3 linked regions of the Arabidopsis thaliana genome follow. The protein of the gene in region 1 interacts with the protein of each later gene in a pairwise test. Each region holds a gene or a part of one and is shown in the gene's direction. Other genes may lie near its edges.

Region 1 (7,865 bases):
ACCTTTACATCCTTATGGTTTCTTGTAGACCAAGAAAGTGACAATCCCGGAAGATAAACCTCTGCCTCTGAGACTGGCTTCACTCCGTAACCTTCTTCCCAAAAAAACAACAAATCTTGGAGCAGGAAGTAAGCAAAAGGAAGTTACAGAAACGGAAAAGACGAAACAGAAAAGTAAAGATGGTCAAGAACAACATGATGTAAAGGTCGGAGAAAGAGAGGTAAGAGAAGGCTTGCTTGCAGCTGACGCATCAGAGAGAGTGAAGAAAGTTTTAGAATCTTCGGAAGAGAAACAGAAGCTAGAGAAGATGAAGATTGCGTATGGACAACAACATAGCCAAGGAGCTTCGCCGGTTCGAAACTTGTTTTGGTCAGTCGTTGTTTGTCTCTATATCTGCTACATTTTGAAGCAGAGGTTCTTTGGTGCTAACTCGGCTCAAGAGTATTAAAAAGTTTGACCTTGGATCGAGGAAAAGTGAAAAACTGTAAAATATGTAATGACTAATGAATGAAACTACCATCGATGTAAAATTAACTAATAAAATCAAATTGGTCAAGATTTTTTTTTTTTTTTAATTTGGCTTTGTGAATTAATATTGGCTTACCAAATTGTCCAACTGTATATAATTACACACGTGTATGTACTATGTGCATGTATTAATTATGAAAATTGGTTGAACATATATTTGAATTAATATCTTAAGATAATAAATAAAGTAATGAATCGGTCCATATGATAATTAAATTTAGGGATAGCTATATGGAGCAAACGAAGGCAGAGACTGTATGTGAATTGGTTCACTTTATTCAAGGTCCCAAAATAAATGTGGTAAGATGAGAAATTTATATCAAGGCTTTAAGGACTCTATTTAATTGCTTCTTCTTTTCAGACTGATGTCAATATTTTTTAGGAATAAAATAATGCACACATGAATGGTAAATTAAAGACCAAAGTTGATAATAATAAGAAACAATATAAATAACTTTTGTTCCTAAATGATTATCTCATCAATAACAAAGAATTGGTGAATGATACACAAATTCATTACACTATCTTTAGTTCATAAATAGTTTTATATTTACTTCGCATTATAGCATTCATAATCTCTAATGAAATCCATGATACGTTTCTATATCATCCAATAATGAAAACATAACACCAAATAGAAAATTTGCAAATCAGTTTAATTATGAGATTTCATATTTGTTTTAATAATCAGGTTAGTAGTATCATACAGTATGTTGTATCATATTTTCAGCTAACACTTAATGTCGTCGTTGTTGAGGAAACAAAATTAGAAATCGCATGCAATCCCTTTTGTCAACGAAAGTTTGTATAATAAATTCACATTGTTGTCAAGTTTTCAAGTTTCAACCATATTTCTTTCTTCCACAGGTTTCTAATTTCAATGTATAGTAAAAACAGTTTGACTTTTTTTGATATACACTTCGAAGTGAATAGAGTTAAGACCGCGTGAGTAGGAAACAGCCAACACATCGAGACGACCCAAAAATGCAAAAATACAACAACTAAAAATAAAAATAAAGCTATTTTGATTACAGTATTTAAACAGATATAAAAATAGCTAATTATATCATATTAAAGTTATGTTATTTAAACAGTCTTAAAAGGAATTGAATAACGTGCGATGTTCCTAAATATGAATGTATGATTAAATCAGGTAAAACATAGTACTAATAATCTTATATAGAAAAAATTATAAATTAGTGGAACGTTCCATGCATTCATTGTATTCAGTAAATAATCTTTACTATTGGCAATTTTGTCGAACTTATGACCCGCTCGCTTTAATAGAAGACTACAGTGCAGATAAGTTGTTTGTCCATGTGTAAACGTTTTAATAGTTTTAACCGTGGGTAAGAAATGTTTGTTTTATCACGAGTTAAAACAATAATTACTACTATTAAAATACAATAATTATTATTAAATATCCTTAAACTAGTAATGTTTTGAGAAAAGTAAATATCTATAAGAAAATCCATTTTAATTATAGATCTTTGTTCACTAAACAAAACAAGTGGTGTTTTAAGAAAAGTAAGAATCTAGTACAAAGTAATTAAAATTGCCTTTACACAGATTTTCTCATTTTTCATTTTGAAGAAATATTATGTATTATAGTAATAAATCTTTATTTGTTTTTAGTACATCTAAATTAGGCAAAAATTAGAGAAAGTACAATTAAATTATAACAGAGTAAGAAAACTTGGGAAATGAGAAAGAGAAATAAATAAAAAATCCAAAGAAGAAGAAGAAAATGAGATCAGCAAAATCCCCAATAAAAGTTAATTTTTGTCATTATACGAAGGTGAGAAAATCGCCGGAGAAAGTGGATAAAGTCCTCTCCTTTTTTTATCCAACCACCGTCAATTTAACCCTCTCCGGCAACATAAAAATCCACCGGAACTTAAAAAAGAGAGTTAGTTGTATAGAAAGAGAAACAAAAGAAGAAGGTTGGTTCGGTCCTCTCTCTCTCTCTTTCCCCGAGTATGGTGAGAGTACTAGTTAGCAGTAATGGAGAGAGCAAGAGACTTTAAAACCCTCTTTCTCTTTCTCTCTCTTTTCTATTTTTTCTTCTGTCAATTTAAAAACCCATCAGTTACGCCAATTTCTAAAGAGAGAGTTTTCTTTTAGCGAATCTGTAATGAATGTTGAAGAAGCAACAAAAGGGGTTTGGGAGCACTAATGGCGGCTTTAGCTTAGGTGAGAAAGTCTTTACAAGGAAGAGATCATATACTATCTCACTTTCTCTTTCTAGGGTGGCTCTGTAGAGAACTAAGAAGAGACATTATTACGGCTAAAATAAAAAACCTATCTCTTTTGGATTTGTAAAAATTCCTTTTTTTTTTCTTTTGTTTTCGTAATCAATTTCTTGCCTAAAGCGAAACCTTTTCACCTCCCGAAATCATCGCCTTTGCATCTTCTCTTTCAGATTCTCTTCCGTTTCGTTTTTTTTCTTTCTTTTAATCTCTCTTCCTCTTCTCTAAAATTTGAACCTTTTTTTTTTTTTGGTGTGTTGCTCTGTTGGGTTTGTGTTAATGGTGACAGTGGTGTAAATGGTCCATTAGTAGTTTGTGGTTGGGTGAAAAGTAAAGAGATTAAAGACTGTTTTACTGTCTTTTCGAAACATTAATTAAAAAAAATGAGTTTCGTCGTCGGCGTCGGCGGAAGTGGTAGTGGAAGCGGCGGAGACGGTGGTGGTAGTCATCATCACGACGGCTCTGAAACTGATAGGAAGAAGAAACGTTACCATCGTCACACCGCTCAACAGATTCAACGCCTTGAATCGTACTACTCTGCAATCCCTTCTCTTTTTTATCTTTTGGACTCTGTTTTCATTTTGTAATCGTTGAAACTTGGACAGGAGTTTCAAGGAGTGTCCTCATCCAGATGAGAAACAGAGGAACCAGCTTAGCAGAGAATTGGGTTTGGCTCCAAGACAAATCAAGTTCTGGTTTCAGAACAGAAGAACTCAGCTTAAGGTTTTGTGTCTCTGTCTCTCTCTCTCTCTTTTGAGTTTAAAATGTAATTCTGAACACGAAAAGAGAGGATTTTGATTTTCGTTGTGGTACTGTTTTGTGTAGGCTCAACATGAGAGAGCAGATAATAGTGCACTAAAGGCAGAGAATGATAAAATTCGTTGCGAAAACATTGCTATTAGAGAAGCTCTCAAGCATGCTATATGTCCTAACTGTGGAGGTCCTCCTGTTAGTGAAGATCCTTACTTTGATGAACAAAAGCTTCGGATTGAAAATGCACACCTTAGAGAAGAGGTTTGGTTTTGTTTTGCGAGTTTTTATTGATGTAAGATTGATTCAAAACATCATTTTGACTGTGAAAATTTGATCTTTTTGCATAGCTTGAAAGAATGTCTACCATTGCATCAAAGTACATGGGAAGACCGATATCGCAACTCTCTACGCTACATCCAATGCACATCTCACCGTTGGATTTGTCAATGACTAGTTTAACTGGTTGTGGACCTTTTGGTCATGGTCCTTCACTCGATTTTGATCTTCTTCCAGGAAGTTCTATGGCTGTTGGTCCTAATAATAATCTGCAATCTCAGCCTAACTTGGCTATATCAGACATGGATAAGCCTATTATGACCGGCATTGCTTTGACTGCAATGGAAGAATTGCTCAGGCTTCTTCAGACAAATGAACCTCTATGGACAAGAACAGATGGCTGCAGAGACATTCTCAATCTTGGTAGCTATGAGAATGTTTTCCCAAGATCAAGTAACCGAGGGAAGAACCAGAACTTTCGAGTCGAAGCATCAAGGTCTTCTGGTATTGTCTTCATGAATGCTATGGCACTTGTCGACATGTTCATGGATTGTGTAAGTAGCTGAGACATCCTCATCATCATGTTCTGTTTCACAATTGGTTGCAGCATTTCTTATAAAAATATTGTCTTCTTGTTGCAGGTCAAGTGGACAGAACTCTTTCCCTCTATCATTGCAGCTTCTAAAACACTTGCAGTGATTTCTTCAGGAATGGGAGGTACCCATGAGGGTGCATTGCATTTGGTAATATTTGATACTATACTTCTATTCTCCTTTTATTTTTGTTTCATTTTGACTTATATATAATAGTAACTTTGCTTGGCTTGGTTATGTAGTTGTATGAAGAAATGGAAGTGCTTTCGCCTTTAGTAGCAACACGCGAATTCTGCGAGCTACGCTATTGTCAACAGACTGAACAAGGAAGCTGGATAGTTGTAAACGTCTCATATGATCTTCCTCAGTTTGTTTCTCACTCTCAGTCCTATAGATTTCCATCTGGATGCTTGATTCAGGATATGCCCAATGGATATTCCAAGGTTAAACTTCTTTTTCCTCTGTCAACTAAATCATGTTTTCATGTTAGAATATCCCTAAACTGATGAATTGAAACAGGTTACTTGGGTTGAACATATTGAAACTGAAGAAAAAGAACTGGTTCATGAGCTATACAGAGAGATTATTCACAGAGGGATTGCTTTTGGGGCTGATCGTTGGGTTACCACTCTCCAGAGAATGTGTGAAAGATTTGCTTCTCTATCGGTACCAGCGTCTTCATCTCGTGATCTCGGTGGAGGTAAACATAATTTTCCATTGCGAACCTCAAAGTTTTAAACTCCATATAACTAACATTTGTTGAGCAACTTTTTGCAGTGATTCTATCACCGGAAGGGAAGAGAAGCATGATGAGACTTGCTCAGAGGATGATCAGCAACTACTGTTTAAGTGTCAGCAGATCCAACAACACACGCTCAACCGTTGTTTCGGAACTGAACGAAGTTGGAATCCGTGTGACTGCACATAAGAGCCCTGAACCAAACGGCACAGTCCTATGTGCAGCCACCACTTTCTGGCTTCCCAATTCTCCTCAAAATGTCTTCAATTTCCTCAAAGACGAAAGAACCCGTCCTCAGGTAACAACAACACAAGATTCAAAATCTTCATACGAAAGATTCATTTGATAATGTATATATTGTTTCCTTCTTGTTTGTGATACTAGTGGGATGTTCTTTCAAACGGAAACGCAGTGCAAGAAGTTGCTCACATCTCAAACGGATCACATCCTGGAAACTGCATATCGGTTCTACGTGTAAGCCTCTTTTACAACAGAGTGATACAAAAGTTTCCGCTTAATTCTCTTTTGACTCATTTGTTTTTGTGTATTAGGGATCCAATGCAACACATAGCAACAACATGCTTATTCTGCAAGAAAGCTCAACAGACTCATCAGGAGCATTTGTGGTCTACAGTCCAGTGGATTTAGCAGCATTGAACATCGCAATGAGCGGTGAAGATCCTTCTTATATTCCTCTCTTGTCCTCAGGTTTCACAATCTCACCAGATGGAAATGGCTCAAACTCTGAACAAGGAGGAGCCTCGACGAGCTCAGGACGGGCATCAGCTAGCGGTTCGTTGATAACGGTTGGGTTTCAGATAATGGTAAGCAATTTACCGACGGCAAAACTGAATATGGAGTCGGTGGAAACGGTTAATAACCTGATAGGAACAACTGTACATCAAATTAAAACCGCCTTGAGCGGTCCTACAGCTTCAACTACAGCTTGACACACACCATTAAAAGCTCTCTTCCCTCTTTCTTCTGGGTGTCTCTTTCTCTTCAATGATGGAACAGAGAAGGGAATTAACTCCTTCTTTTGCCTTCAATGCCAGAGAGAGAGAAGAGAAGCTCATTAACTCCAATTGTTCTGCTGCTTCTGTTGGTGCTGTTCTGTTCTTGGACAAACCTCATTAAACAACTTCTGTAAGAAAAGAAAAAAACAGCTGGATTCTTCTCTCTTCATTTTTTTTGGTTTTTTTTTTTTTTTTTTTTTGGTTGGTTATGAGTATTTTTTTAGGGTATTTTTATTGGGTTTTTATTACTAGAAGAAACTGGAAGTCAAGAACGCACCATGCAACTTTGACTTTGTTTGTATGGTTCGGGCATTGACTTCTATTGCAAAGTTTTTTTGAAAGCTTTAAACTTTGTTCATCTCTTCATTAATGGTCTGTTTATGTTTTAACTGGTTCTTAAATCTTCTTCTCCTTTGATCTAAATGTTGTTGTTATGGGTGGAGAGATAGAGAGAGAGGTTAGGTGATGGAAATCTGACAAGTTGATGACTTTTTTGAAAGTTAGAAGAGAGAAAGAAGAAACAACAAAGATTTGATAAATGCGATTTCTTTTGGTTGGTTCGCTTTAAAAGGAAATTGTGTTCGTACGGAGACCATAAAAACCCATCACTCTCTCGTTGGATCCAAATCTATTAATACACTTTTTTTTATATCAAAACTTATGGTGAAGATTCATGTCACGTCTCAAAATCTCCTTTGGACCCAAAACAAATATATCGAACGTGCGGTTTTTCTTTTGTTTATTAGATTAGAGATTTATCAAAATCAAAACTATTTTGCTTTCAAAAAGATTGGTTTCACACTTTCAAAAAGATTGGTTCCTTAAATCGAACGTACCGTTATTTTGTTAACAATAATAGTCTTGTGTAGGGTTGATCCGTATTATGAACTCGTAATTAATGATGTATCAACAGTAAAGTAAAGGTACTTTCTACCTAAATTAGGTCCATGCCATGGTGCCAATGAACTTCACGTTACTAGTCTAACTGTCTAAGGCTAAGCTAGCCATTTTTTTTGTCTATTAGTAATTTCAAAAAAAAAAAAAACAGGTGTTTCTGATATATTTATTTTGAAATATCGAAATTATTACGACTAGACCGTTAAATAGATTGATAGTGAAGCACTTAACTTAAAGGCGTCATGAATCATGATGAAAAAAAATCATAAATGATTTACAGAATTGTAAATTAAGTGGATAGATACTATAGTATATAAAAAAATGAATGGGACATATGAAATAAATTTGAGATAAGTTTCTTAGTGGTGTAATTTGTTGCAAAATTTAATGATTTTTTTCATTCTTCTAAACAATATGCAATTCTTATTCTTATCTTGTAGTTGTTTTAATAATTTGTGGGAGACAAATTGTCTCCTCTTTTTTTTTTTTGGATTGAAGAAATTAAATGATTATTGAAGTCATTATAAAATAAAAAAGAAGAGTATTGGGCTCAGTTAAAACGGGCTTAAATATAGGCCCATAAGTTATTCATAGTAAACCCAAACCCAATGGAGAAGAGTAAAAACCAAATCACTCCATCAGAATTCACAGCCAATCCTGTTGTTAGAGAACCATTACCAATTTCGATCGTCATCTTCGTCTCCTTCACTCCTAGAAAACGTTGGAACCCTAATCTTCTTAGAAATTTCAATCGAATCTGAAGAACTAGATTACGGGATTAAAGCGAGGTAGAATCGAAGACGATGGCAGGGAG
Region 2 (5,300 bases), on another chromosome or scaffold:
AAATCTTATTTTTCGTTTAGCTCCTTTAAACAACATTGTGGCTCCTTTAAATTATCCTCATAATTCTTGCTTTTGACTCCCTAGACTAACCAATAAACTCTAATAAAAAAAGAAAAACTTGCTACATTGTTTTAAGAAATTTTGCACATGAAAGCAATCAATCAAACCTCGATATTTAGAGAAAAGTTTATGTAAGGGAGTGTAACCATTTTTCAGATGACATAGCCATTGGAGATTTGGAAAAGGTAGTATATACAGAAAATTCAAATGCATCTTTTAAAATTATAAACATAAAACATGTATTCCAAACCCCTAAGTGGGATATTAAGTCAAGAAATAGCATTACATAAAGCAAGGATCGACAAAGACTGAAATTTGTCAAGCATGAAGTTACTAAATTTTGGAAATTTTGTTTACGTTAAATTTGATCATTGGTTATGCATTAAAAGCTGAAACAGTTATTTAGAAGGAAAAGTAGTTAACGTTCCCAAAAAGTTCTAAATAAAACTAGATTCCAAATGATAATGAAAACGTCGCATCTACTATATGTTTGGTTTTAAGTTTTTGTTTTGACAAAAAATCATATGTTTTTGGATTCTTCTATGCAAACGAAATATAAAAAATTCATGATTCAAATACAAAATACATATAAAAATAATAATTCAAATTATCGAACATTTTTTCCATCTCCCGGATTTAATTCACACATTTTGGCTTCAATTAAAATCCAAGAAAAAGAAACAAAATGACTTATAAAAGACAGAAACTAGTAACTTAGATGGATGGGTTAAGACTTAAGAGTTAAGACTATCTCACTTTCGAAAAATGATTTATTTAGCTGAGGTGCGGAGTGGAGTGGACCTTGTGATCCTTTTCCCTACACGAAAGTTTTTTCGTGACCAGTTAATGTGTACTTTGTACACGTTTCTTCTCATATATATGATTGAAAAGGGGGCATTAATTTGTGAGCCTGAAGGTAGTAGTCGTGATCCATGAGTGCATGACCATAGTTTTATGTGACTTTAAGATGAGTTCTTGACTCCGTTCTACACCTTTGATTACATACTCAAGTTTGCATGGTGGAAATCAGCTTGAGGTGCCATATTTGTGCTTGAGGGGGCCGTAAGTGCAATGGCATGGTACTCCAAGGAGAACGGTTGCGTATGTGGGTTCCCCATTGTTATTGTGATGTGATCAGAGTCGCAAGATAATCGTGAGCTGATATTACTTGTTGATCTAGAGGCAGCGTGCATTACCTCATATAGAAGATACCATGGACTTTGGGAGGTTTTCTTGGAAATTCTTCCATGAGGGGTTTACCGCGCACTTGATACATGTAGATGATGGTTTTGCCGTTTCGTTTGTTCGCTCGGTCTCTTTGTCCCACAAACATATCTTGCATGATGTAGTTGTTGTTAGTATCGACTCAAATATTTACTCTCTCCAACCAGTAAGGTTTTGCTTTTATCCTAGCCACATAAAAATCAGAAATAAAAGTACTATTTGCTAAAAATGAAGTGAAAGTATTGAATTAACCGAAATCAATGTATTCAAATTTTGTCTCGCTTTTCTTTTGTCGACTAATATATTATCATTTGAAGATAATATATAACTTTTCCAACAAAAAGATTATCGACAATTTATTGTGGTAAATGATTTTCAGGATGTATCCAGAATCGACAGTCTACCAGTACTAGAATATATCTAATAGATAAATGGTTCTTCTTACACTATGCTCATTATGGATTCTTTAATTTACTCTTTCACAAAAGGGACGATGACGAAGGAGTCTCTCTACAGCACGTTAGAATTCTTTTGATAGGTTTACTTCCATTAGTCTGAAATGGAATCTTATTTATAAGTCTGCCTGAAAAATCTTAACAATTGATATTAATAAAACGGAAAGAGTAATGAATATTTTTAAGAGCATCTCGAATCTATCTCTATTTTTATTTATATACTCTATTTTTGTATTTATTTAACTCTAACTCATCTCTATTTTCATTTGTAAAATAGAAATTTCTAATTTTTTTTCTAAAGCAAAAAATAGAGATTTTTATTTTTTCTCTTATTTATTTTTTCTAACGAATTTTTGAGGAACCATTGAAGTTAAAATATAAATCTCTATTATATTTTTTCCTCTATATTCAGAAAGAAAATAATAGAAACAAATATTGGAGATGGTTAAAGCTTTTTTTTTTGTCCGGATAAATATCATACAATATATTTATGTAAATATCAAATTTAAATAATTTTGTTATAACTATTTTTTAATGCGACCTTATTTCCAAAGAAAGTGTTAAGCCAAATTAAATCATACATGGTAAATAAGAGGTCCAAAAGACCAAAAGCATTAAATTTAAGGTAATGCGTCTGGTTTCTTTTCTCCCAAACGAAAGGAGCCAAAAGCAACCGATCAAGTGGAGACCAGTAACCGCACATTCACTTCATTTCCCCCACAAGAGAAAAGATAAGATAATGGAGTTTTCTGCCACGTGGCCTTATCCTAGTGGTGCGTACCGATAAGGGTGTCAACACCTTTCCTTAATCCTGTGGCAGTAAACGACGTTATCATGAATCATGGACCCTTTGATCATGAGGGCTTTTCGCCTTTAGGGGGTTCTCATTATATAAAGATGACAACACCAGTAGGAAAACAAGTCAGTAAGTAAACGAGCAAAAGAAGAAGAGAAACAACAAGAAGTAGTAATGGCTTCCTCTATGCTCTCCTCCGCCGCTGTGGTTACATCCCCGGCTCAGGCCACCATGGTCGCTCCATTCACCGGCTTGAAGTCATCCGCTGCATTCCCGGTCACCCGCAAGACCAACAAGGACATCACTTCCATCGCAAGCAACGGGGGAAGAGTTAGCTGCATGAAGGTAATATCATCAATAAAAACTGTCTTTTGTCATGTGCAATAAAACAAAACATAGGATATATTAATTTGGAATTGGATTTGGGGATTATAGGTGTGGCCACCAATTGGAAAGAAGAAGTTTGAGACTCTATCTTACCTCCCTGACCTTAGTGACGTCGAATTGGCTAAGGAAGTTGACTACCTTCTCCGCAACAAGTGGATTCCTTGTGTTGAATTCGAGTTAGAGGTAATAAACACAAAAGTTTTCTTTTGTCTACTAATCATTATTATTTATTCGTTTTCATTGCTAGAAATATTAGCCTATAACCGGATTTTGTAGAACCGAAATAGACTATATCACCTTGTGCATATCCTCCAATATCAATTGTATTGAATGGTTTTCTTATGTGTTTATAGCACGGATTTGTGTACCGTGAGCACGGAAACACTCCCGGATACTACGATGGACGGTACTGGACAATGTGGAAGCTTCCATTGTTCGGATGCACCGACTCCGCTCAAGTGTTGAAGGAAGTTGAAGAATGCAAGAAGGAGTACCCGGGCGCCTTCATTAGGATCATCGGATTCGACAACACCCGTCAAGTCCAATGCATCAGTTTCATTGCCTACAAGCCCCCAAGCTTCACCGAAGCTTAATTTCTTTTCTAAAACATTCTTATGAATTATCTCTGCTCATTTCATTTCCTATTGTCTGTGTTCTTTTTCTCTTTATGAGACAATTTCTATCGGATTGTCAAATGTCTGATTTATGAATATGTAATTTATATATCCGTGCGTCTTGATTTTTTCCGATGGTTAACTAGTTTGAAAATTTCCGATGAGATAAGACAACATACAAAAAATCGAATAAATTGTGTAAATATAGATAATAGTGACATATGGATTTGTATTCATATTTGTCCATTGTTTTAAGAGGAAAAAAGTTACAAAATCTTATTTTCTTAATAATAAGTAAATTTACTTTATAAGGACTGTGAAGTGTGTAACATGTGTTTGTAGATCTCAGTCACACAGAGTTATTACCTTAAAGGAAAAGGATGGTCCACTTGAAAGGATGATAGACACATTTGTGGACGGTGCCAGTGCCATATACATAAGATAGGCTTGCGGATAAGAGTCCACTTTTAAATTTATGATTAAGACCCTTTTCTTAATGATCTCACATATCAATCTGAAACTTGTGTGTCAACATTGTCTTAATGACCTGAAATATCAATTTGAAACTTGTGTGTTCATTGACTTAATGAAACTACAAGAAATCATCAAATGTGTGAACGGAAAGTTCTTTGAAGTGTTTTTTATATAATTTGTGTAGACTTACATGCGTGTAGTTTAAACTTTAATATTAACTAAAATGTATTTAAATTAGGGTTTATCTCCTAAAATTGATTCTAAAATGGTTAACCCAATATAGGTAGTTTATGTGTTGGTAGATCTACCGAAAATCCAATTAGTTTGAATCTTGCGGAATAGAAAAAAACAAACTATAATCTTGATTTTTGGATCCCACCGTTGTGGATGCTCTAATAATGCAAGTCATGCATGTTTCACCAGCGTCTAAGTCTGTATATACGCTTTTGGATTTTGTTCGAAATATTGAAACACCAAATAAAACAAAAAAAAATACTGAAAATCTATTATGAGAAATCTCTGTATATAAACATAAACGAAAGTGAACCCTTTAAAGATATATTTTCGTTTCGGTCGATATACATACACTGATTTCTCAATATCTTCTTTTATCTTAAGAAATCCTATCAAGTATCAACTATCATCTATGTATATAGTTTCACCAACCCAAAATGATTTGTAACAAACACCTTAATCTTTAATATTTAGTTAAACCAACTCTTACCGCTCATCACCGCGTCATAACGCTGCCACCATCCCCACCCAAACGCAAACGCAAACCACGTCCATTCCTCTTCATATGTTAACATGTGCGGCCACTCCTCAACACATTTTGATGAGAGCATTTCCGCATTTTCCCTGATGTTCTGCACCGTGCCTTTCTCTTTCTCCTCCTTTTCCTTTTCGACAACAGTAACATTATTTTGATCATCTTGCGTATCTTCCTTCTTTCTCATCAAACTTATGATCATCAACGATTTCTTACGTTTAGGCGGCAGAGGTTTCATGCTCTCTTTGTAAACGTTCATCCGAGCTTTTGCCGTCATTCTCGCGTGTTTAGACTGTTCCCTTCGAGTTTCCTCTCCGTTGCTTGATCTATTTCTCTCTTTACCTTCATACACCGCGCTTACACGAGCTCTCTTCATAGAATCCACGTGCATTCACACATTTTTTACATCAACATGTTTTATAACTTGGAATAATATGGTCAGACTTAATATCTCCCATTTATAAAACGTGTATTGTTGTTATGGGTACAGGTATGAGTCTCCAACGGCTTTGATTGCTTTC
Region 3 (4,401 bases), on another chromosome or scaffold:
ATATATATCAATTATAGAAAATAATACTATCTAATAAGAGATTTCCAGCATATACATATTTAAGTTTAGCTAAAGGCAGAAATATAAATACTTTCTTATATATGGTTTTATTGTTTTAATAGGTAATAGAATGTAAAGCCTTAATTATGGGAATTGGTTCATACGAGTAATTTCACATAATGGACTTAGAAAGATATCTAACTTTTTATAAAGAAAAATTCTTACACTAATAAGGGTTTGTTACAAGAAAAAAAAAGTTTATCTTAGGATTTAAATGTTAGGATCTGATGTTATTTACTTATTTAACTAGTTACAAGTAAAACTTTTGCTGCGGGCCTGCGGCTTTCGTAAATTAGTGATATGATCATATGAATGAAGCAGATCTGTGTCATCTGTCTATCTTTTTTTTTTTTAAACAATCTATCTTTAATTAAAGAAAATTTTGAATAGATGTAAACTAAATATTAAATTCTTCTCTATCCATTTAAGAAAGTTGTGGGCGTTATTGTTCAACATCATGGTAGAAAATGACGCTACTAACCATTAAAACAACAAAGTGTGTAAAGAATTGGATTCTACCATAAGAGGAACACGTTGCATTGTTACATATATTCCATGCTCTAGGACGGTACGGGCAAGTTGCAGAATAAGATGTGATTTGGCATATTACATAATGTATGTGTCGGTACATGAATCACGTACACTGAAAATGATGATAACCTTGTATTGTGATGTAACAATAAGTGACTCTTGAGATCGAAATGGGCCACCATTAATACTATTTTGAAGAGAAAAACAAAAAAAAAACTAATATTTTACATTTTTTGTATATTTTTGGTTTTAGGATATATATATACGTGGTTGCTTCACTATCATACTATCATATCCATCTTGTTGGGCACGAGCTTGAATTTCTAGCAATCTTATTCATCGAATAGGGAATAAAGTTCAATTTTGTTTTATTCTTTGACATTGCAAGATTCGATTTCATGCATGACGGTAAGGCTAAAACGGAACCACAAAGTTTGCCTTTTTCTCTCAAGTGGTTATAAAAAAACAATTCTTGAGATATTATCTCATACTCTCTCGAGTTTTCTCAAACACTGAAGCTTGCAACTCTTTTTGGCGTATCTAAAACTATGTCCAAGGCGTATCTAAAACTATGTCCAAGCTATCCAATGATTTTTACCCGATTTTCAGCAGAACACATACACTATGAAATACTATAAAGTATGATTGAAAGCATATTAGATATCGAAATATTTTTCCATATATCATGTACACATAACCGTTACAAAAAATAATTGCTATATTATTAATAATTTCTTATTAGACTCAAAAATACTGTAAGAAATATTTCAATTAATTTTGAATACTATATTAGTATAGTACACGAAATCCGATAATTTCAATTAACGACGACTTCACGATAACATGAAATCTTTTCGTATATAGGCGTCAAGACATTTATATGTCGATAATGTGTTGGATATTTTTGACGCATTCCTGACGACATATTTAGATTGAAAGTAACATTCTCAAAACCAAAAATTATTATCACAAGCCTAAATGAGCCAAAATGAAATCCGGAGTAAACACTATTAGCAATTTTCAACTTTATTTGAAACTAAAAACATATTTCGGAATTTTGAAATTTTATAAGTCAAACGAGTTTAGCAGAGATAAAACTCATTTCTGCTTTTTATCAGTGGTTTTCACAATGAAGGCCGTACTAATGAAACATGACATTATTCGTCCGTATCAATTATTCCTCATATATATCAAAGAGAGATTTTGTTTTCTGTACGTTTTACCAAATTAGTTGATAGTTTTATTCTTTAGCTGCAAGAGGGAAAAAGACTCAAAGAGTCAAGACGTGTGAACCGATAATATCCTCAGATTCTTTCGGAATACTTCGACTATCTTAATTTTCATCATTTAAAATTGTGTTCTTTTATTTCTTTACTTACAATTTGAGATATTTCATATTTGTGCTAAAGTTGATTCTCGTAGAAAAAGGCAACGTAATAAGAAAGGTTACGTACTTTAGAAAGCTATATATAAAGGACCTTACCCACTTCACTCCATCAAACACAAAAACACAGAGTCACTTCTCATTTTCACCCAAATATATCAATAATCTCTCTATAAGTTATCTAGTTTTCCCATATTCATCTCTAATCTAGCATTTTGACCAAACACACCTATTTTTCTCCTTTGCAAGACAGTTTTCAAATATCTATCACGTTATATTACTAATGGAGAATCTACAAAAGATGATCTCCGAGAAGTCGGTAGTGATCTTTAGCAAGAACTCTTGCTGCATGTCTCACACAATCAAGACTCTCTTCTTAGACCTTGGCGTGAACCCGACGATCTATGAACTCGATGAGATTAGCAGAGGAAAGGAGATAGAGCATGCATTGGCTCAGCTCGGGTGCAGCCCGACAGTGCCAGTGGTGTTCATAGGAGGGCAGCTTGTTGGTGGAGCCAATCAAGTCATGAGTCTCCATCTCAACCGCTCCCTTGTTCCAATGCTTAAGCGCGCTGGAGCTTTATGGCTTTGACTTCAAAATAAATGGAATTGCAAATGACTTAGGTTCTGAGAAACTTATTAATGTGAACAAAAAAAGGTAAAAAAAACATATACAAAAATGTATGTATGAGTTTATTACTATATATGTCTATCTATCTAAGTTTTCAAAAGATAGATTATGCGGTTACCTATTTTGTAAACATGCATCTAAGAGATATTTATATTTTATAATAAAAATCAGCAACATTTGGATTTCTCCTTTTTCCCAATTCATATTTATATAATTTTGTATACATATATGCATCTAGAAATGAATACACGTGCACTGAATATAGATGATTTTTTATGGTGTAAAGGAAAAAAGAAAGAATATATAACTATTTATGCAGAACATGCGCCAAGACATAATAATTAATTTAAAAATTTGAAGAAGGCATATTTTATAGGCTAAGAATATTGTATTTGTATCTGCCACAAATTAAAAAGCGATGACGAGTCTGAATCGTGTGTAATGTCAAGCCTTAACTTTTCAAACGAAATTCTTACAATGATATGCAACTGTTAATAAATGTTAGGCGTGATTGTCAACTGAATTAGCTAGTTACAACTTACAAGTGTAAAAATACAGGAGATTGCGTAAATTTGAGATATGGATCTTAGAACAACTCTATAATCAATTAAAGAAATTTAGAATTAAGGTAAATCAATCATTAAATTCTTCACTGTCTATCTACAGAAACATTGTTGAACATCATGATAAAAAATGACGTTTCTAACCATTAAAATAACAAAGTGTGTAAGGAATTGGATTCTGCCATATAAGGAAAATCTTTGCATTGTTACATATATTCCAATAATAGGACAGTACGAGCCAGTTGCGGAACTTGATGCGAATAGGCATCTTACATACATATAATGTGTCGGTACGTGAATCACGTAATGTTCAAATGATGATAACCTTGTATTGTGATATAAGAATAACGGCTCTTGAGATCAAAATTGGGCCACCAATAATCTTTTAGGAAGGAAGGAATGCAAAACTATGGCTTTAAAATTTTGTTGAGCCCCACGTGGCTGCTTCACTAATCAATCTTCTTGGCCACAAGCTTGAGATTTCAGAATTTCGTGGAATTGAGGATAAAGCTCTCTTTGATTCTTGATTCTTAACATTGTAAGATTCGATTTCATTCATGACGATAAGGCTAGAACGGAACCACATAGTTTTCCTTTCCCTCTCAAGTGGTCATACAAGAATATTATAATTCTTGAGATGCATTATATCTTGCGATTTCGAGTTTTCGCAAATTAAAGAATGAGAGGAGCTAGAAACTTTTTATGGCATATCTAAAACTATGTCAAAGGGACATGACATACATATGAAATTCTATTTCTTTATAGTATATACATATGAAATAAAAAGTTTTCATGATATTACGTATCCCATTTATGAGATATGGAAGTTAATCAAGAATTGGTTACTTCTCATCTCAGGTTTTCTTGTTAAGTCTTTTCTTTTTGTTCTCGATTCCTTGTCTTATCTCATGTAACCTTAATCCTTCACTCAAGTTATAAGGTGACTTAGATGACCAAAGACATGTGATTTACATAACTGAATTGTCTTTTGTTAATGTTCTATAGTAACTAGTTTTATTACAAATAGCACATTGTTTGTCAACACATGGAATTTACCACCCCGAGTCTTTAGAACAATATGGAAACTGCAAATTCATGCGGTTCTTATTGTGGGCTTCGACGATGTGGACAAATTCAAAAACTATTATTGTTTGCTCGATCATTCATGTAAACCAGGTGACAAGCTGACCTAATTCTATCATTTTTAGTTATATGGCTAACATATATAAACT

What was found.
Region 2: the proteins of HDG11 (region 1) and RBCS3B interact in a two-hybrid assay, tested with the Arabidopsis thaliana proteins (one large-scale study listed by BioGRID).
Region 3: the proteins of HDG11 (region 1) and AT4G15700 interact in a two-hybrid assay, tested with the Arabidopsis thaliana proteins (one large-scale study listed by BioGRID).

The regions. Positions count from the first base shown.
Region 1 is NC_003070.9:27,577,116-27,584,980, reverse strand, and holds HDG11 (homeodomain GLABROUS 11), read left to right. Parts: upstream 1-2,295; 5' UTR 2,296-3,160; coding exon 3,161-3,306; intron 3,307-3,382; coding exon 3,383-3,500; intron 3,501-3,602; coding exon 3,603-3,791; intron 3,792-3,877; coding exon 3,878-4,360; intron 4,361-4,447; coding exon 4,448-4,549; intron 4,550-4,641; coding exon 4,642-4,842; intron 4,843-4,918; coding exon 4,919-5,099; intron 5,100-5,176; coding exon 5,177-5,436; intron 5,437-5,522; coding exon 5,523-5,612; intron 5,613-5,689; coding exon 5,690-6,088; 3' UTR 6,089-6,560; downstream 6,561-7,865. Other genes in the region: SUS6 (sucrose synthase 6), read left to right, coding at 29-448. UniProt on the Arabidopsis thaliana protein: Transcription factor which acts as a positive regulator of drought stress tolerance. Can transactivate CIPK3, NCED3 and ERECTA. Transactivates several cell-wall-loosening protein genes by directly binding to HD motifs in their promoters.
Region 2 is NC_003076.8:15,375,716-15,381,015, reverse strand, and holds RBCS3B (Ribulose bisphosphate carboxylase (small chain) family protein), read left to right. Parts: upstream 1-2,599; 5' UTR 2,600-2,709; coding exon 2,710-2,880; intron 2,881-2,970; coding exon 2,971-3,120; intron 3,121-3,275; coding exon 3,276-3,515; 3' UTR 3,516-4,028; downstream 4,029-5,300. Other genes in the region: AT5G38400 (uncharacterized protein), read right to left, coding at 4,715-5,170. UniProt on the Arabidopsis thaliana protein: RuBisCO catalyzes two reactions: the carboxylation of D-ribulose 1,5-bisphosphate, the primary event in carbon dioxide fixation, as well as the oxidative fragmentation of the pentose substrate.
Region 3 is NC_003075.7:8,935,287-8,939,687, forward strand, and holds AT4G15700 (Thioredoxin superfamily protein), read left to right. Parts: upstream 1-2,071; 5' UTR 2,072-2,258; coding exon 2,259-2,567; 3' UTR 2,568-2,838; downstream 2,839-4,401.